Mytilus edulis: one gene and its partner. The protein of the gene in region 2 interacts with the protein of the main gene of each other region in a pairwise test. Links are inferred from orthologs where the notes say so. Each region holds a gene or a part of one and is shown on either strand. Other genes may lie near its edges.

Region 1 (11,099 bases), on a different chromosome or scaffold from region 2:
AAACTAAAAATATTTTTTCCCGATTTTCAACCTCTAAAGAGTGTTTTGGTCAGTTTTACACCCTAAAAAGACCCTCAATCCCAACAGAAGCCAAATTTAAAAATTTTGATCAAATCATTTAATGAACAACCCCACTTACTGATTCTGTTGTTTAATGCAAAGCTTTTCTCTATCAAATTTTATCAGGAACACTCTAACCTTAAAATAAAAAATATAAAACACATTTTGCCGGTTGAATCTGGAACCTATGTATTGGTGGGTTCTGCAACATGATAAAGAATGTATCAAAACATGCAGTTAAACATGTAAGCACTGAGCACAGGACCTTTGACAACAGATAAAGCTCACCTTATCAACAGAACCACTGCAAGACCTATGACTTGTATAATATTAAAGTTGTCCATTGCTTCTACCACATACTGAATGCCACAGGTGTAACATGTTTCAAATATATAAATTGAGTGATTCGTTTTACAGTTGGAAAATTTTATAGATGCTGGGGCCAGCTGAAGGATGCCTCCGGGTGCGGGAATTTCTCGCTACATTGAAGACCTGTTGGTGACCCTCTGCTGTTGTTTTTTATTTGGTCGGGTTGTTGTCTCTTTGACACATTCCCCATTTCCATTCTCAATTTTATATAACTTTTTTTGGTAAAGGAGTTGATGAAAGGATAAGGAATTGCTTATGTTGCAAAGATTCCAATAATAGCAGTTTTTTCATCAGCTCCTTTTCAAACCACCAAATCCAATTGTTGGACCCAAAAAATTTACTTTGAATGATTTTGGGTAATATTTTGCTTGAATGCAGGTCCTTATGTATTTCTCATCACATTGGCATTCATTTTTTTTTTAACTTTGAGCGATCCTGATCTGTTGTCAAAGATCCTGTAGTTGGTTTGTTGGTCAGGTGAACTATATTTGTTGTCAAAAGTCATGTATTGGTTCTGTTGGTCAGGTGAGCTATATTTGTTGTCAAAGGTCTTGTAGTTGTTTTGTTAGTCAGGTGAACTTTATCTTTTGTCAAATGTCTTGTTGTGGTTCTTTTGATCAGGTGAGCTATATTTGTTGTCAAAGGTCTTGTAATGATTCTCTTGGTCAGGTGAGATATTTTTGATGTCAAAGGTCCATTAGTGGTTCTGTTGTTAAGGTGAGCTATGTTTGTTTTTTGAAGGTCCTGTAGTGGTTCTGTTGGCCAGGTGAGCTATATCTGTTGTCAAAGGTCTTGTAGTGGTTCTGTTGTTCGGTTTAGCTACATCTGTATAGTCAAAGGTCTTGTAATGGTTCTGTTAGTCAGGTGAGCTATATCTGTTGTCAAGGGTCCTGTAGTGGTTCTGTTGGTCAGGTGAGCTATGTGTTCTCAAAGGCCCTGTAGTGGCTTTGACAGTCAGGGGAGATATTTTTGTTGATGAAGGTCCTGTAGTGGTTCTGTTGGTCAGATGACCTATGTGTTGTCAAAGGCCCTGTAGTTGTTTTGTTAGTCAGGCGAACTTTATCAGTTGTCAAATGTCTTGTTTTGGTTCTCTTGTTCAGGTGAGCTATATCTGTTGTCAAAGGTCTGGTAATGGTTCTGTTCTTCAGGTGAGCTTTTTTGTTGTCGACGGTCTTGTTGTGGTTCTCTTATTTAGGTGAGCTATATCTGTTGTCAAAGTTCCTGTAGTGGCTTTGCCAGTCAGGTGAGCTATATGTGTTGTCAAAGGTTCTGTTGTAGTATGTTGGTCAGGTGAGTGCTGTTTGTTGTCAAAGGTCATGTAGTAGCTCTGCTAGTCAGATGAGCTATATGTAGTTGGCATTCAGTACGTGGTAGAAGCAATGGACAACTTTAATATTATACTAAATAACCATCGTTCATGGTACAAAACTATCAAAAACTTTCCCCTTACTAGACATATTCGCTCAAAGAATCACCCTTTAGATAATGTTACTTTCCAAATAATTGAAGTGAACATTGAGTGGGACATCACTGCGAGAAGGACACTTTTGGATCCACCAGTTCCGTACTGTAAAACCTCACCTGATGAGATTAATGAAAAAGAGGAGAAAAGATAAAGAATGATTAAAAATACTGCATCAAACTTTATCTATAATATTGGCCAATGGACATGCAAACCACACATTTCAAATAAAATAAATAATCTTGAAATTTATCAAAACTTTGATATACATGGCAGCAACGTCCATGTGCAAAAGTTTCTTGTCTGCATTCGATTTCACCTTTATATATGCACGCTCGATGAAGCTAATATGTCTAGCGGAATATTGCAAAAAAAAATATTATCGCATCGTAAACATTTTTAGCATTTTAATACTTACAGCGTTTTGAAAAATAAAAATTAGTCAAATATGTTAATATAGTGAATTAAAGGACTTAAAAAGCATTTTGTGGATGCAGAATTCAATTTTACGTATTCAATTATTGTACATATGTGTCTCTCAGAATTCATTTGGATTAGGACCGATTTTCAATTTCGTTATTCAGCGTTCCATTGTTTCATCACAATACATTTCAAGTAACTCAATTATGTGTCAACTATATATTTGTATTATAAAATCATTGTAAGGTGTAAATGGGTTTACAGGCTTCATCTGTCCTTGAAATAAAATAAAACACGTACATTAGTCACTGACATGATCAATGTGCTTTCCTGTTGTTTTTTATTTGTTTTTATATATTTTGAAAACGAAGGGATTTTAAATATTATCAAAAGTTTATGACTATCTAAAGTAAGCACAAAAATCATTAAAAGTACCCTTTTTATATGAAAACGAAAAAGAAAAAGAAATGTGGAGTGTTTGCGAGACAGCATACGACTAAAATAACATAACGGCACCTAGAGGGCAATATATACAGGGCTCAAAAATAGGCATGTATCTATCAAACTAAAGATGTCAAGATTTTTGTCGTTCCGAGAGTTCATAAAGTTGAATGAAGGGTGGTTTTGAACAATATAGGCAGAGTAGTTGATAAGGGTTCTATTCAGTGTCACAAATCAAAACCATGGTTTCAAGCTTAAGATAAAAAGTGTTTTAAGTTGATGATTATACACGTCGAAAGTGAAATAGAACTATGCTTCTCGATCTCTTCATTAAAAGTGTTGACATTTACAGAATAAATGATCACAAAGAGAAAGTTGACAAAATCGTCCTGATTGCAACCTCATTTAGGTACATAATGTATAATTAGAGTAGGGTTTTACAAACTATATATTCAAGTCAGATAATTTTTTTTTTATTACAAACATTATGTCAACAGATTTTTTTTGTCGGAGTATGATTCAGGTCCGAAAAAAAAACAATGAAAGTTGAACAGTTTTTATAAAATTTTAATGAATCATAATTTGTCCTATTTTTTACGTAATGAAAACAGCACTGATTCGTAATTCGAAAAATTTCAACAAAAAGAGCGATATATTTCATATCTATAGTCATTGTTTAATATATGATTCATAATGATTATTCTCAATAAATCTGTATTTCAAATTTTAGCACAAGAAAAGAAACAACGATCAACAAACGGACAAGATGAGGCTGACTTGGTACAGGAACATATATATTAGATATACTGTTCCCAGCTTGGTACAGTTACAAAACACGTGATGGGGTTAGAACCTCCCAAAGTTTACGGGTTTTGGAACTTACACTTTGTCCGCTTTGTCAATAAAGGTTCCGCGTTTACTATTCCCAAAATAGCTATGACATAGGTGGAAATCAAAATGCATGGTTATTGACATTCCTGCAAAATGATCGATCTATAAACAAAATAAACGCTTTTCTATCATCTAGTTTTAAAATACTAATTTAAATACGTATTAGTGCAAGTTAAAGAAGAAGAAAAAACGTATGTAAAAATAAGGAGATGTGTTATGATTGTCAATGAGACAAATACCCACAAAAGTCCAAATGAAGTGGTGTAAGCAATCATAGTCGAGCGTATACTGTCTTCAGCAATGAGAAAATCCCATACTGTATTCATGACTGACTTGTCTGCTATAAAAGGTTCGGATATAAATGACTAATCTCAGTTTATCAGACGATCTAAAGTGGAACATCCTTGTATAGGGAAAATTACTAGCAAACGGTAAACTGTACTGTGGTTTGTTCATTGGTGAAGGCCGTACGGTGACCTATAGTTTTTAATGTCTGTGTCATTTGGTCTCTTGTGGAGAGTTGTCTCATTGGCAATCATATCACATCTTCTTTTTTTTATATGTACTATAGGTTTCCTGAAAAGAAACATACGCCGGCAATACCTCCAGGAGTGCAAAATATATAGCCTATTTTTAACCGCATCACTTGCTGTATGATCCTGTCGAAGGACAGAAGCCTGTAATTCAGTGGCTGTCATTTGCATATACTAGTAGCTGTGATATCATATTTATTTTGGGATTATTATAAAAACAAGCAGAACTCTCCACCAGAGACCAAATGACTTAAATAAAAGTTAAGTACTATAGGTCATCGTACAGCCTTCAACCATGAGCAAAACCCATACTGCATAGTCAGCTACAAACGGCATCCAAACTGAAAATTCAAAACAATCAAAGGAGAAAACTAACGGCCTGGTCAGTCTAATTAAAATATAGAACTCTGTACAGAACAATGAACGAAAAACAAATATGATATACAGCAACAAACAACAACCAGGGACAGGCACATACAAAAAGTGGCGGGTCAAACATGTTTGCTGGCACCCAACCCTCCACCACTCAGTGATGACAAAACACAACAAATGAAGAAACTATTAAAGTCCTTTGAAAAGGGCTTAACTCATCAGATAAATACAAAGTAGAAAAACAAGTAACAAAGAGCGGACGTGGCAGGATACAACAAAAAAGCACTAAGTATATAGATCTGAAAGTGCAAAGCCAATAACAAACTATTAAAAAAAATCATTTATCAAAGACTAATTATCAATCAGCTCACATCCAACATCCAATGGTTTTAGTGTAAAAACGTCATAAACAGCCAGACAAAAAAACATGACCTTGTTCAAAATTTATCTATCGACAGATTGTATACGGACCCGCCACTGCTTTGCTCGAAAATTGTCAATAATATCACATTCCTCTTATTGGAATATGGTGGTGTTTTTGGAACCCATCTTTAATTTAAATGGAGGTCGCCAATGTGATTATCGTAACGTAATGATTTTCTTGCGACGGCAAATATATCGGATTTTACCCAAATTCAGTTGCTTCGAAAAAGGTGAAAAACATATTGTATGAGCAAAAAATTGATGTGTAATTAAAGTTCAGACGTTTATCTTTCTAAATATATAAATATATGTGTATTGCATCAGTGAAATATCGAGTACCAAAAGCGTACAGAAAAGAGGTGCATGCAAGCGTAAGTTGATATTTCTACTAAAGCTGGCACAGAAAAAAAAATAAAACTTGGCAGTGATTTTTCTCAAAGTCGGAAAATTTTACGTTAATTCGTAATTTAAACTTTTCAAATCTCGAAATTTAGACTTTCTTAAATCTTGGAATATCGCCTTTTTTCCGATTTCTCACTTTCTCGATTTCCCGATTAATCGATTTATCGATTCCCCGATTTCTCGCATTCTCGATTGATCGATTTCCCAATTTCTAGATTTAGCGTGAGAGTGAAAGGAAATGAACAGTCGAATTTTTTTTTTAAATATAAAGAGGAAATTTTGAGAAAAGTAAAAAAATCTAGTATAAAAAGTCAAAATTTTGAATTTGAAGTCAAAATTTCAAGATTGAAGAAAGTCAAAATATTAAGTTGAAAATTTCGAGATTTAAAAATAACAAAATTTTAAGTTGAAAATTTCGAGATTTAAAAATAACAAAATTACAATGTGGAAAAAAAAATTCCCTGCCAATTTTATTCAGTTAACTTTTACTATGTACTTTATTGCGCTTCCGTAAATTGAGTGTATTACATAGATACCAAATACAGAACTTTTAAAGAAAAAAAATCCTCTTTGTTAGAGGACGTTAGAGATAACTGTTATATAAATATCCCGATCTGAAGCCTTTTCTCGATTGGCAAGTTGTATCAAGAAATATGAAGCGTTTTGATGACAAATCAACAAAAACATTACTCAGACAAAGATGTGACCCAATTAAATGCACATGCGTACTCAACAAATTGTCAGAAAATCGAGAACCTGTTCAAATGAGGGAAAAGACATCCAAATAATTTAATGTAACTCGGTAAAAATGCATCAATCGTAAATAAGTAAATGAGATCTGGGAAAAGGGATATCTTCTCTAGTTTCTAGTGGAGAAAAAAATGCACATTGTCGCTTATTTTTGCAGACAGGCACTTGTAATTTAGGCGACGACTGTCAATTTCTCCACCATAAACCAGGTGTTGGGTTTCAAAAACAGTTCATAAACGGTTCTTTAGAAGACAAACAAGGTGCGATCTAAGGCATCCCTGACACTATTCATAAACTAGAGTAACATACCATGTTAGGAATACGCAATTAATCGAGATTTACTGTTAAAATTTCTTGGATTTAAAATTTTATATTTTAATGTCCAAATAATGTTCTAAAGCTGCCTTTGTTTATTTCATTTTATTTTATGCATAGACACAAATCATTATTGTTACCTTATGATAATACAGTACTACATTTGTAGTTACCATGTTTTAAAGTATGACATTTTCTGTGCTGGTTGAAAATTTAAACTTTTTGCATGGTCATTAAATAGGCCACTTCATGGTTATTGCAGCCATATTGTAAAGAGTTCAGAATTTTTTTTGGTACATGTGATATAACAAGGAGTATGGGAAAACTCATTCATGTTTCCAAGCGACTATTCCTTTTCAGTGATGAAAAAAATAAGAACATAATATTCTAAATAAAGACTCTAATGTTTGGGATAACAAGTATTAAGATAGAAAATTTATTTGAGAAAAAAATGTCAAAGGGAGATGTAATTTATTGATTCAGCCTTGCTGGAGTGATGATCGGGATAATTCAGATCTGGTTCAGAATTCTAAGTTGAAGACATATGATAAAAATTATGTGTTTATATGACTTGCAGAAACTTTATACCTCATTTTAATAATCAACTGCCAACTTATGATATGTTATTTGTCCTTCAATTTAGAAAAGGTTTGGCAAACAACTTATTTAATTTAGATATATACAATTGCATATAGTTCCTTTGTAAATCAGAATTTATATTACATGTATTAGATTGCCATTTGATATGAAAAAGTGATTTATCAAGTACAAGCAGTTGAGAAGGAATATATGAAAGTGTTTTATCTGTATCTTATATCTTATGTTAGTCATTGAAATTTGAATAAAATATAACCAGAGTTGATTTGTTTTTTTTGAAATTATTTTAAATATGTTTAGTTTTTAAATTGTTTCTCTAGTATGTGCCTTCTTGTAATCTTCAACATATCGAAGTTAAGAAGTATTGTGTAGATGTAGGTGGATTCCCACACTTCTTTGAACAATGTTGAAATAATTTTACTCCCTTTGTTTCATTAGACAAATAAGAGTATTGATACAATACCAGTCATGCCAGTATGGTTTTCAAGTGTCATGATTTACAAACAATTAAACTCAAAGGTGTAAATATTAATTGAAATCAACTCCATTCTAATGCAATTTTAATTGACCAGTTTATATGTCATGACAGTTGATAATTATACTGGATATAACACATCTAACTGAATACACAAAATCTTAACCTGAATAGTGTACCTATTATTTATTTTGATCAACACACTGAAACACTACATAAATTATTCTGTTAATGTAGTGTGAAAGTTGACTGATTAATGAGCATGATGAGGTATGTGGGTTTAAAAAAAAAAAGAAGACTAAAAACAAAATATTTATAAAAATGCCCCCAGATTTATTTCACTTGTACAGTTACATTGATCAGTAATCTATGATGCTTTGATTATTTTGTAGCATTACCAGACTCAATGGGCAGTAATGGAGATCAGTATTTTAATGCTACATTTAGTAGTGAACCACCTGTCCCAGACTTCCAGCCATTTAATGTAGGTATTTTGTTACATTGTGTCTGTTAAATATGGCTTTTATATGAATAAGACAACAAAAAAGCTTGTCAGTTAAAGTTTACAAATGCAAAAAACACGATAAACATCAGAAATTTATGTTCATAGATAGTTGATGGGATATTGTTAACTAGCCCAAAATGAAAAAAGACTAAAAAAGTACACTCATATATAATTGATAAGTTTTTAGTACACATGGATATTGATGTGGTTTTGAAACAATGCCAGAGTAATGATTGTATTGTTTTATCTTTTACTTATACAAAGACAGTTGTTCTAACATCCTTAGAAAGTCTGTTTCTCCTGGGGAGAATCTAATTTTTCACACACCAGTTTCATATTAATGTTAGAATGTTAAGCATCACAAAATGACTACATGAAATATGAACTTATGGGTAATGTCACTTGACAATTTCATTTCAGCAAGTTGAGGCTGGTCAAAATAGGAAAGTGGCTAAATATTCTCTCAATTCTGTTTACAAGATTCCATCTGCTTTGTTTTTTGGTAGAAAGAATTGACATATCTCCAAAAATCCTGCTTGTAAAGACACTTTTTTCAACCTCTATGTTTGAACTTCACAGTTTAGGTGTCTGGCTGAATCCTTTGAATTATTTTTTTAACCATTTTTCAGCGGCAAAGAGGAATGGCAAGAGGACAAAGAAATATGATGGGCCCAGGCCCAATGCCAGGGCCACCTGGTCCACCAGGGCCAGGACCTAGGAATTTTGGTCCACCTGGCCATGGAATGAGACCAAGGATGGACATGCCTAGAATGGATGTTCCTCCAGATCTAAGGGATGGGCCACTACCTGGTCAGATGTATAGTGAAGGTTATGGATCTAGGATTGATAGTCCAAAGTTTGATGGTCTAGGATCAAGAATAGACCAGGGATTAACAAATGATTTTGCAGCTCTCAATCTGCAAATTCCTGGTAGTGGTTTAAAGGTATATTTTATGGCAGATTTCATATATGCTGCATGCTATATTTTTGTTTTTAACAATGGAAGTTCTCAAATGATTTTAATTGGAAAGTAGTATGAACAAAATAAGTTTTTTTAATGATTAGGTTTCTAATTTGTAAATACAAAAACATTTAAATTTAGATTTCAGAAATGCATTTCATTACATTTATTCATTCAGAAAGACATAAACTATTTCTTCTTCTCTATAACAAGCAGTTTTATAATAATCATAAATAATAACACATAAGTTAGATGGCCATGACATTAATAGATATCCTAATTTTGAATAAGCTGAACTTGATACTGTCACATCATTAATACATAAATCTTGAATAACGGTGAAATTATTTCCAGTCACTATTTATTTATGAAAAAAAATGTTAAAATATGAGTTACAAATTTGTATGCATAATATTGATACAGGAAATTGTTTCTATTTTAGGGGTCAAACCCAGGTGCAGATGAATTTGTACCAAAGTCTGCAACATTAACTCATAGTGCTAGTTCTCCTAATTTCTCATCGTTCAACAATGGACCAGTGGGTATGCCACCCATGTCTAATGCTGGACCTCATATGATGGATAATGGTCACATGGGAAATTCCGTGCCTGGAGGTGATATTCCAATGCCTGTTGGAGGACCTATGATGTCCAACACACCTCCACCTGCTCATTTAATGCCATCGGGCATGTCCGGTAAACATTTTAAAAGTTTGTTTTGACCTTAAAAGAGACTGTTTAGTGATTCTTGGAATGCAATTCATGATCATTGTACTTCATTACAAGTTCAGGACGATCTTACTAATTATTTTGAAATATTTTTTTTTTCATTTAAAAAAATAATAATATAAATAAGAAGATCTGGTATGAGTGCTAATTAGACAACTTTCCATCCAAGTCGCGATGTATAAAAAGTTAACGATTACAGGTCAAAATAAGGCCTACAACATAGAGCCTTGGCTCACACCAAGTATAAGTTGATATGGCAGAACTTTAATAGTCTGCTTTATGTATTCAGTATTTTCAAATTTCATCTTTCCAAAATCTTTGATTATTCTGTAACATGATTGAAACTAATATGATTTTTCAAAGATAAATTGTTTGTATATTTTCAGGAGCTGTTTATTCTACAGCCAGTCCTAACAATAGTCCTCATCTGTCTCCAACAAACTCTCCTCTTATGATGAGAAGAACTGGTTCCCCATTAGCTCCCATTAAACCAGGAACACCAAAGAAAAACCAACCAGCCAGCACCATTCAGGTAATGTATACACTTCATTCAGAAATTTTTCATACACTTATTATTGCGATTTTTTAACAATGGTAAAAAAAAATTGTTTAGTTTTGCACTTTCAGTTAATGTTGCATTGAATATTTTTTATCAAAATTTAGTTTTTATAGTTGTGTAATCCTCATGATCCCACTGCCAATTTTCGCAATAGTTAAAACGTCACTAAAATTTCTAATGTTACTGAATATAATTAGTGAATTCAAGCTTGTTAAAATTGAACCTGTCCTCTACAAAAAAAGTTCTCTAAAGAGAACATTGTTTACACATAAATATTATTCAATAGTAATTGAAACATGTTTAAACTTAAACAGAAGACCTGTCTAATCTGAATAAAATATTCTGTCACACATGGATTCTATTTAAACAGTTGTCACTTTAATTTCAACCTCTGTTTATCTCCAGGTCATTTCCTGATTCTTACTCTTGCTGCATGCAATAAAGATAGTGTAATTCAGGATCAGTTGAATGAATATAATTTTTCTTTTTTTAACAGGAAAGTGTTGGTGGAACAACCTATTTCTACAATCCTGAAGATTATACTGTACAAAGGGAGGGCATTGTAAGTAATACAAATTAAAAAAAGATTTTTTTTTAAAACATTTGGGTAAGATCAATGTCAGCAATACTGAATAAGCTGTCGACCTGTTGTCATGGTTGTAGGACAGATATTTTATTTGTATAAAACCATCACTTGGCGTCCGTCGTCGTCGTAGTCCGTCTGTCGTAAACTATTTCAAAGATCTTCTCCTCTGAAACTACAGAACCAATTCAAACCAAACTTCATCTGATTGATTCCTAGGGTATCTAGAATAAAGTTTGTGTTTTAATTCCCA
Region 2 (10,340 bases):
ATTTTTTAAAATAATCATATCTTAATTATTTCCTTGCCTTCAAAATCATCTCAAGTTTAAAGTATAATCATAATGCATGTTTTTATTCCATGTAGTGTTTCTGACAGTAGTTTGATCATTCCCTTTGTCAGAAATGAGACTAGAACTATAACATTATAGTTGTTTAAATTTAAAGTAGGTCATAGCTTAGCCTTTCATTTTCAGATTATGAAAGGGTCTTCGGAACACCCAGAAAGCATGATTTTTCATCATTTGTTCTATAGCTTCTTGGGCCTTCAGTGGCTCCAAAACCCTTCAAAAAAAAAATTGTCATTCTCGGTTGATTTCAGGATTACGGAAATAAACGAAGAAATCGAAAGTTGTGATAAATTCTTAGGAAACAGCAATCGGCAAACTTCGGCAGATTCTGTTACCTAACTGTGCCGATTGAGTGATTGATGGATTAATGCGAGTCATCATTAATTCTATAGAAAAACACGTTGACGATGGAAATTTGTACCAAATTTATTGAATAAATGCCCCATTTTTATTGATTTATTTTTTCGGTAGAAATTGCACTATATGAAATATATATCGCAAGTTGTGATTATATAATAACTATACTGTTTACTCCATTGAGTGGCACACATTTCCTGCATATTTAAGACAATTGTAAATGATCGTTCTGATAAAATCAAAAGATCAAAGAGATTTTAAATAAATGTAGGGTAAGATCATTGGTTGGTATATACGAATGTTCAGCTGAACCCCGATGTGTTGAATTTTTTTTTAGTACTGCGACTCAAGTATTTGTATAGTAACATTGTACAAATTCTTGTGCAACTGTTCAATAATATTTACGGTAATTACCAGTATCATTTGGACGGTTTCATTTGGTCGGATAGTGATAACATATTTTAGGGGACAGAAATGTATTATATAAATATCTATACAACGTAGTTAGATCTCTGTTTTCTTCTGCTGTATTTTGTTGATTGGTACTTGCTCGATTAATTTTCGTATTGTAAACTGGAAATTTCTACTTTCCAGGATTATCCAGTAACTTAACCATATATATATTACTCTAAACTTCACAGTTTTAATATTAATCAAATATATTTATTGTTAACCGGCGGTAACCGGAACACACCTTAATCACGATTCAAACTTCACCCACAAACTAATAAAATAATGTCACTCACTATTTCAAATCGTTGTAGAATAATTAATTCTGGGCCGATTTTCATTTTTTATCCATCAATCGATTTGTTTAAATAAGTTGTTCTCAAATAAAGGTCTACCGACGCAATTGAAATAAGTAAAGGTGTTTTCCGACAGGTAATATTGTAAAGCTGTCTCGATTAAAACCATGTGATTGATAAGAAGTATCTCTGGTCAATTTATGACTGCGGCATGACTACAAAAGAAATTAACGACAGCGTACTAATTAGACAGTTTCCATATCTTTTCTACAGGGCTACCCCTGTACACGGGTTATAAATAAATGCTAATTAATCATTGTAGTTCCTGTCAATATAATACTTCCATGATCTATTTAAATGGTACATAATGACTTGACTATACTATATGTATTATTTATAAAAAACAAATCATTTAAAAAATTGTATGTTTTCGAATATCAAAAATATAGTTGTGAAAATGAATAATCAGTCCCTTGCTTTAATGAAAATGAAAAATCTTGCTTCAATAGTGCAGAACTTCAATAGTGCAGAAAATGAATAGTCTGTCCTCTTAGTTTACAAAAATAAATAACCGATCATAAACAAATCCTGCTGCACCCCCCCCCCCCCCCCCCCCCCCCCCCCCTGATTGTGCAAATACCTAAGATCTTTGCGCAATTGGTTTCTTTGTTGAATTAATGATATTTGATATATACCTGTTGTCAAAAACTGTTATATTCAAAGATGACAAAGTTTCTTTGATCTCGGAATATAGCAACGTTCTTGTTGCTTCCATTTCAAATCAGGAAAATGAAAGTAGAAAACGTGTTGTGTACGGGTCTCACTAATTAGCGACAACAAGCGTCAACAAGCGACAACAAGCGTCAAGAAGCGACAAGAAGCGACAACAAAAATTATTTTAGCGACAAGCGACAAGAAAACTATTTAGCGACAAGAAAACATTTTTTTTTTTATTAGATATAAAGAAATTTGTATGTAATGTTTTTTTTTTAAATATACGAGCAGATATGTCTAATTAAAATGTTTTATTATATAGATAAGATAAGATAACTTTATTAGCACTAACACATTGACAATAAATGGTTATGGCAACAAATTAAAGACTAACTACAATAACATATATACAATGAAGGAGTGACAGTGGATAATTATGAGAGAAATATATAAAAAATAAATGAGAAGCATATACATTATTACAAAAAACAAGTACCTTTTAATAATGAGTTTCTCACCATGCAACAAGCATTAATTCAAATAGTTGACAACAATTTTTAATATTGTTTGGGAATTACTATTTAGAATTGATATAAGCAGAGACATATAGCTTAGAGCCTTATGGTTACCTACAGTGGTTAATGTCTGTATCATTTGGTTTCTTGTGGAGAGTTCAATATTATATTGCATATACTGTACAGAAAAGAAATGTAATACACTCGCACATCAATATATTAAAAATATGCCATGAGATATTTTCCACTGGACGTTAGGCAACCATCATTTAATTCAGCCTGATCGTGCAGTTTGTATAAAGTAAAACAAAAAGGTTTTAACTTACAAATCAAGTCAAATAGTTGTAAACTATTTACACATGTGCATTTTCGTTTCAAAACTAAAAGGAGATTTTAACTAGTCCAAAAGTTAAAAAGAAAGAAAGAAGGGAAACATGTACATTTCGAAACATTTAGATATCAATGTGGCATTAAAACTGGTATGCTTTGAAGTCAACTTGCCATGTTAACAGAATTATAGCATAGTAGAATGTTTATTCTTACAAAAATTGTTACATGAAAAGGCAGCAATACCTGCTGCTGTGAGTTTTTATCGTATATTTAGCAGTTCCTTACACTTAAACTATGGTTTAATCTCTTTACATTCGAGTTGAAAAGTGAGACTTATATTGCCATTTCCTATTAAATGATCATTAAATGTAAATCCTAAATACACAATCCGTGAAAAGGAGAAACCATAAATTAACCGACAATCATAAAAAAAAAAAACTCAATACAAGCTCATAATGTAAATTTCGAAAAACACACTTAGAAAACAATTTACCGACAATCCCCAAAAAAACAACTCAATACATGCCCAATTAATAATGAACACAAAAAGTAATAATTTTTTAATGATCTATAAGAGTTATGAATATAAGACAAAGTTGATCATGATTAACGGTAAATAAAGAAACAAATTAAGTTTTTTTTTCTACTCATTGATTAATTTTATATTTTGTATTTTTGGAAAGATTGTGGACACCTGTGGTGTAACAACTTCTTGTGTACCAGGTGTCAATTAAAACTCTTTTAAACAGGTTGTGATTTACCTGACCATCGAATAATTCAAGCGTAATATACATGTCACACTGTGAAAGTATGTCTCTGACACAGGTGTATATTAAATAGAAACCCATTATGAAACTATCAAATAAAATGAACTCTGATACAATTTATTAAGTGTTAACTATTTAATATCGTTTTTTTTTTTAATTCAATATCAAGTTATGTCTATTTTTCAATAATACAAATAATACAAATCAAAATTAAAATGACATTGAAATAAATATTTATGCATGAACTCAAATTATTTAATTAATTATGTTAAATTTAACACTGAAACAGATAATTTATGCTTAAACATTCACCCTTACTTCGAGTACTTTTAATACTTTGATAAAGACTCTATTACCCAAAGAGATCTCGCGAGGTTTAAATGTGGCCGTGTGATATTACGGGATTTCGCCGAGTTGCCAATCTCTTGTATTATATGTCTCTGATATAAGCAAGTTATATGATATTAAAGGAAGAAAATTTGTTGTTCAATAGAACATTATTTAATTTTTTAATAAGGTTATCTCTCACATATTTATAGGAGGAACATTTTAAAAGAAAGTGAAGTTCATCTTCAATGTCTCCATTGTTACAGATAGACGAAGAAATGAAACATTTGTGAGAAAGAAAGAGATTGTGAAGTTTATATTAGTATATTGGTAGATGAAGAAATTTAACATTTGTGAAAAAGAAAGAGATTGAGCTTCTTTTTTTTAATTTTTAAATATGAAGAATATGTATAAGATAATGTATGAATCTGTTTTCATCAAAGTCAAAGTATGAATAATCGAATGGAGATATATATGGAGCGGGCATAATGGAATATAATATTTTGATTCATTTGCTTAATACTATGCTCTAAGTGTACTCTTGTTATGTCAATTCGATGCTTTATTTGTAAAACTCTCAGCCACGCTTTGCCATCTTTATTATTTAAGCGTGTTTCCAGAGCCCACGACGAGGACGTGGTTCTACCTTGGGGTCCATATACAGATCACGTACTTTTGCGGAAAAAAACCCCCAAAAAAAAGGTCAACTTTCCTTTGAAGGATTTATTGAAACAAAAACATGAAATATTATTTCCTTTCTAACAGTATAATTCATCGTTCTTGATAGGAACAACATTAGTTGTGGCTTCACCTTAAGGTAATAACAGTACACACAATGTGGAACATCAAATGAGATTAACGAGTCGCGTGTCCCCTGTTTTATTGCTACAATAACATCCAATTATCACCTTCAACTTTGTACACACGTCAGACTATACAATTACACGCGCCAGACTATACAATCATTGTAAATAGGGAACACCTGTTGAAAACTCAAGATTGTCATTAATTTCCTTTCATCTTCAATCAATATGCATAAACATGATAAATATCGTTTAATGAGGCAATAAACAAATAAAAAGATGAAAACATTCACATTTCAATTTTCTTTTCCTCCTGTTTGGTTTCAGTTCTTTGTATTTCACAATTTGTGTCAATATTTTCAGGACAATGATGCACAAGTAATTCATTTTGCGAGCTTAATACATATTGCACGAAAAGAGTTTTAAAATACAAATTATAAGATAAATAATATGTTCTAAAACACAAGGAAAAGTAATCTCATAATACAATAATTAAACGTAATACTGGCTGTTATTCATAATAGATGATAAAATATTATGTAAATAATGTTTCATTTTTTTCTATCAATTTTAACTTTCTTGTCGCTAAAATTATTTTCTTTTGCATATTCTTTTAATATTTATTGCAATAATTAATTTTAATTAAAAAAAATGTTTTCTTGTCGCTAAATAACAGCTAAATAGTTTCTTGTCGCTGTTTGTCGCTAAAATAATTCGCTTCTTGTCGCTTGTTGACGCTTGTTGTCGCTAAAATTCTTGTTGTCGCTAATTAGTGAGACCGTAAGCGTACTGTTATCTCCCCTCTTAAAACTCTTCAGAATAAATTAAGACTGGTTCCTTGTTTTTAAATTTTTCTCACACAGAAGTTTGACCGCTCGAAATGTGAGTGACAAATATTTGAACAGATTAATGTCTTAATAAATTAATGATAACATTTACAACAAAATACCAATTATTTATACTTTCACTATACTTAATGCATGGGAGATAATATATTAAGTATACTTTTACCTGCATTTTGGCTTTAGCGCGCATGTGACTAACCAGACAATAAACTATTGGAAACCAGTAGATCTGACTTTTTACGTATCAACTATCAGGTATTTATTCGTATGTCACAGTTGTATGAAAGTATAAGAATGGAAAGTTTAATTGATGCACTTTGAAACCAGTCTCTTTTTCTCCGCTGAATTAACTTAGACCGTAACATTCAAATCGCACTGTCGTCCAGATTTTTGGTACTGATTTTTTTTGAAGAAAAGGTTACAAGACACGTGTTTTTGTTGACTCACGTTTATTATTTCTGCAAAACCTAAATAAATTCTGTAACTAAGAACATCGAGAGTGGTAGGCTTTATTATAGACAATAGACAATATTTTATTCGCACAAACACATTTACATTAAATGGTTATGGCATACAAAATTAAGACAATAAACTGACTCTTATATGTAATGCATTATGCACATCAACATTTATAAAAACCCTGACTCAATATTTGTGGAATTTACTGTTTCAGAAATTATTATCTAAAGACGTAAAACCAAAGGAGTATAAATATAAATAGGCAGTGGCTATTTGACCGGCACCGGCAAAATAGCAAATTTGCTATTTAGCCGGCTCTGATTAAATTATATCTAACTGGAATTAAAATTTAAGAATAATAATTAAATATCAAAATTTTCTATTTAAAAACTTTTGTTAATGTTGCTCATATAAACACTTAAAACACTTAAACTTCTTATCTAAAAATAAATTAAAAAGTAAAATACAAATATGATAATAGTCACTTTGTAGCTATACTACATTCCGGAAACTAGTACATGTATACTCTTTTCATTTACGGAACCAGCATTGTGATTGTGTTGACGATGCAATCGCAAAATGGTCTTTCAGTACCATGAGAAGACTTGAGAAATACAATTATAATCAAGCGATTATCGGGCTTGGTCTTTAAACAAAAACCGTGAAAAAATAAAAATTTCATCAGACACATTTTTTTCAGTATAAGAAGGAAATGATTTTTAGAATTATATTTGAAAATGAAAAGGTGAAAAAAAGTCTAAAACAAAGAGAAAGTAATTGTATTTATTTATGTATTTTCTCATTTTGAAAAATAACATGTTAGTTGCACAGACGCTGCTCCTTATTATCCAATCTAGCTCAACCCAATACACATTAGAAGTTTGTTTTTCTCTAATTACTTTTTTTCTTCAAATTATTATATGATTTTTATGAGGTCATGTTAAGTTCCAGGAAATTGCGAGAACGCAGAATTTTTCACTATTAATACCAGAGCTTCCAGGGACCTTGAGGGGCCCCAAGACCCCTCGCCATATGACTTACCCCCGGCTTTAAGTACACATCATTTTGGCCTAGCTACACCCCTAGCTGTTTAGAGCATATATAAAAAGGAGAAAAAGAACCCTATCTACATATGTAACATATGCACACAAGATGTAGATTCAAAGGAAGCCAGTGTAATGTGTAGTTCCTGTTTTGAGTGGCAACATGTACATTTATCTTGTGCTAGACTAAACAACTTCCAAAGGCAAAGAATTGGTTTTGTAACAATTGCAAATGTTAAATCATGTGTCCATTTGAAATTCATAGCAAACAACTATTAATATTGTCTGTCATATCTGTTTTACAGTCTGCACGGTTAGCCACTAGTCTGATGCCCCAGACTGGTAAAATTTCTTTCAGACTAGTAAGTTTTTTCAAAACTTTGTTTGGACTAATAAGAAAAATGTCAGAATATTATTCTTCGCACTAGTAGTTGAAAAAGTTTTTGGTGCAGACTGGTTTTATGATGTAGTTTTGCATAACACTATTTTTATCACTGGCAGAATATTTAAACCATAGATTTTAAACAGATTTAAATTTGAAAATCAACATTTTGTTATAAATATTTAAAAAAAAATATATTTAATAATGTATTTACAAATGTGTTTTCATGCTTTTAATTAATATAATAAAGTTATAAATTATTTATTTATGAAAATCTTTTATTTTTTATTGTACTGTATTTTCTTTTAGTTTTCGCACTCTAACTTTAGTAAAAGTGAATAGAAATCGATGAAATTTTGACACAAGGTTTATGACCACAAAAGGAAGGTTGGGATTGATTTTGGGAGTTTTGGTCCCAACATTTTAGGAATTAGGGGCCAAAAAGGGCCCAAATACGCATTTTCTTGGTTTTCGCACTATAACTTTAGTTTATGTAAATAGAAATCTATGAAATTTTGACACAAGGTTTATGACCACAAAAGAAAGGTTGGGATTGATTTTGGGAGTTTTGGTTCCTACAGTTTAGGAGTTGGGGGCCAAAAAAGGGCCCAAATAAGCATTATTCTTGGTTTTCGTTCAATAACTTTAGTATAAGTTAATAGAAATCAATGAAATTAACACAAGGTTTATGAACACAAAAGGAAGGTTGGGATTGATTTTGGGAGTTTTGGTCCCAACAGTTTAGGAATTAGGGGCCAAAAAGGGGCCCAAATAAGCATTATTTTTGGTTTTTGCACCATAACTTTAGTATACGTAAATAGAAATCTATGAAATTTAAACACAAGATTTATGACCATAAAAGGAAGGTTGGGATTGATTTTGGGAGGTTTGGTCCCAACAGTTAAGGAATAAGGGGCCCAAAGGGTCCAAAATTGAACTTTGTTTGATTTCATCAAAAATTGAATAATTGGGGTTCTTTGATATGCCGAATCTAACTGTGTATGTAGATTCTTAATTTTTGATCCCGTTTTCAAATTTTTCTACATGTACATTAACATGATTAAGGTCCAAATGGTCCAAAATTAAACTAAGTTTGATTTTAACAAAAATTGAATCCTTGGGGTTCTTTGATATGCTGAATGTAAAAATATACTAAGATTTTTGATTATTGGCCCAGTTTTCAAGTTGGTCCAAATTGGGGTCCAAAATTAAACTTTGTTTGATTTCATCAAAAATTGAATAATTGAGGTTCTTTGATATGCCAAATCTAACTTTGTATGTAGAGTCTTAATTTTTGGTCCCGTTTTCAAATTGGTCTACATTAAAGTCCAAAGGGTCCAAAATTAAACTAAGTTTGATTTTAACAAAAATTGAATTCTTGGGCTTTTTTGATATGCTGAATCTAAACATATACTTAGATTTTTGATTATGGGCCCAGTTTTCAAGTTGGTTCAAATCAGGATCCAAAATTATTATATTAAGTATTCAGCAATAGCAAGAAATCTTCAATTGCACAGTATTGTGCAATAGCAAGCAATTTTCAATTGCACAGTATTGCGCAATAGCAAGAAATCTTCAATTGCACAGTATTGTGCAATAGCAAATATTTTCAATTGCACAGTATTACGCAATAGCAAGAAATATCTAATTGCACAATATTGTGCAATAGCAAGAAATTTTCAATTGGAGTTATCTTTCTTTGTTCAGAATAGTAGTTGGATCAACTTAAATCATTGTTTTATGCAATATACAATGTATATTCACTTTTACTACCAACTGATAAATTAAAACAATCTTTACCATTCAGTGATAACAAGCACTTTATTTTACATTTTAATATTTTATGATGTAAATGTATTTAAAAGAGTAGTTATTGTTGCAAACTCCATTAGAAATTTGAATTGATATCAGTTTTGGAAAAAGGGAAACAGGGATGTGAGAAAAAAAAATGGGGGGGGGGTTAAATTTTTCTCATTTCAGATTTTATAAATAAAAAGAAAATTTCTTCAAACATTTTTTGAGAGGATTAATATTCAACAGCATAGTGAATTGCTCAAAGGCAAAAAATTTTTTTTTAAGTTCATTAGACCACATTCATTCTGTGTCAGAAACCTATGCTGTGTCAACTATTTAATTTTAGATTTAAATAAGTTTGAAGAAGAAATCTTTAATTGATTTGTAAAATCTTGACATTTGTTTTGTGTAAAAAAAAAACCATGTTATGTCAAAAATTTGATCACAATCCAAATTCAGAGCTGTATCACACTTGAATGTTTTGTCCATATTTGCCCCAACTGTTCAGGGTTCGACCTCTGCGGTCGTATAAAGCTGCGCCCTGCAGAGCACCTGGTCTTAAGTTTATTTGCATGATTTTATAGTTATTATATCGGTAAGAAAAAATGAACATGTAGCTAGAAGACCAGGATTTATTTACTTGTGTAACTGGGAAGGATTTTTAATGATTGTTGACTTCTCCAATTTAAAATTATGCTCAAAGAAGGACCTTTTATGTTGGGATTAACACTCCAAATGAGGGGTAACCCCTCAATGTAAGGATAATAAAAAAACACTTTTAAGGAGGCCGGAGGGTATAAAAAATCAGCAGAAATTGAAACATTTGATTTTTGATTTGAATGTACGGTAACTGTGTATTTGGTTGTTTTTGTCCATTTTACAATTGGTCCAAATTTTGGTCATAAGGCTTTAAATTTGTTTAGTTTGATTTAATAAACATTTAATAAAATTTAAAAGATAATAATTACAATGTTATATTTCAATTACCTCCCTTACATTGGTTTTAAATTATGTAAAGTTGTCAGCTAGTTCTAGTATGAATTATTTTTTAGCTGTTTCTAGAAACATCAAATACAGTTTTTCTGTAATGGAAGTAAATATACTGAGCAAAAAAAGTTGAATAACAAAACTATGAAATTTGTTTATTACAAAAACTTCACAACAAAATGGAATTAAAACT

The links. The genes of interacting proteins can lie anywhere in the genome.
Region 1: the proteins of PAN2-PAN3 deadenylation complex catalytic subunit PAN2-like (region 2) and PAN2-PAN3 deadenylation complex subunit pan3-like interact in binary tests that used the Drosophila melanogaster proteins (3 or more experiments, as listed by UniProt). The link is inferred for Mytilus edulis from reciprocal best matches to the Drosophila melanogaster genes PAN2 and PAN3.

What each region holds. Positions count from the first base shown.
Region 1 is NC_092351.1:26,581,899-26,592,997, forward strand, and holds the start of PAN2-PAN3 deadenylation complex subunit pan3-like, read left to right. Parts: upstream 1-6,062; 5' UTR 6,063-6,167; exon of another isoform or gene 6,168-6,175; intron 6,176-7,902; 5' UTR 7,903-7,916; coding exon 7,917-7,994; intron 7,995-8,644; coding exon 8,645-8,959; intron 8,960-9,418; coding exon 9,419-9,671; intron 9,672-10,090; coding exon 10,091-10,236; intron 10,237-10,759; coding exon 10,760-10,825; intron 10,826-11,099. UniProt on the Drosophila melanogaster protein: Regulatory subunit of the poly(A)-nuclease (PAN) deadenylation complex, one of two cytoplasmic mRNA deadenylases involved in general and miRNA-mediated mRNA turnover.
Region 2 is NC_092345.1:39,385,385-39,395,724, forward strand, and holds the start of PAN2-PAN3 deadenylation complex catalytic subunit PAN2-like, read left to right. Parts: upstream 1-5,421; 5' UTR 5,422-5,519; exon of another isoform or gene 5,520-5,899; intron 5,900-10,340. Other genes in the region: E3 ubiquitin-protein ligase E3D-like, read right to left, coding at 1,877-1,956. UniProt on the Drosophila melanogaster protein: Catalytic subunit of the poly(A)-nuclease (PAN) deadenylation complex, one of two cytoplasmic mRNA deadenylases involved in general and miRNA-mediated mRNA turnover.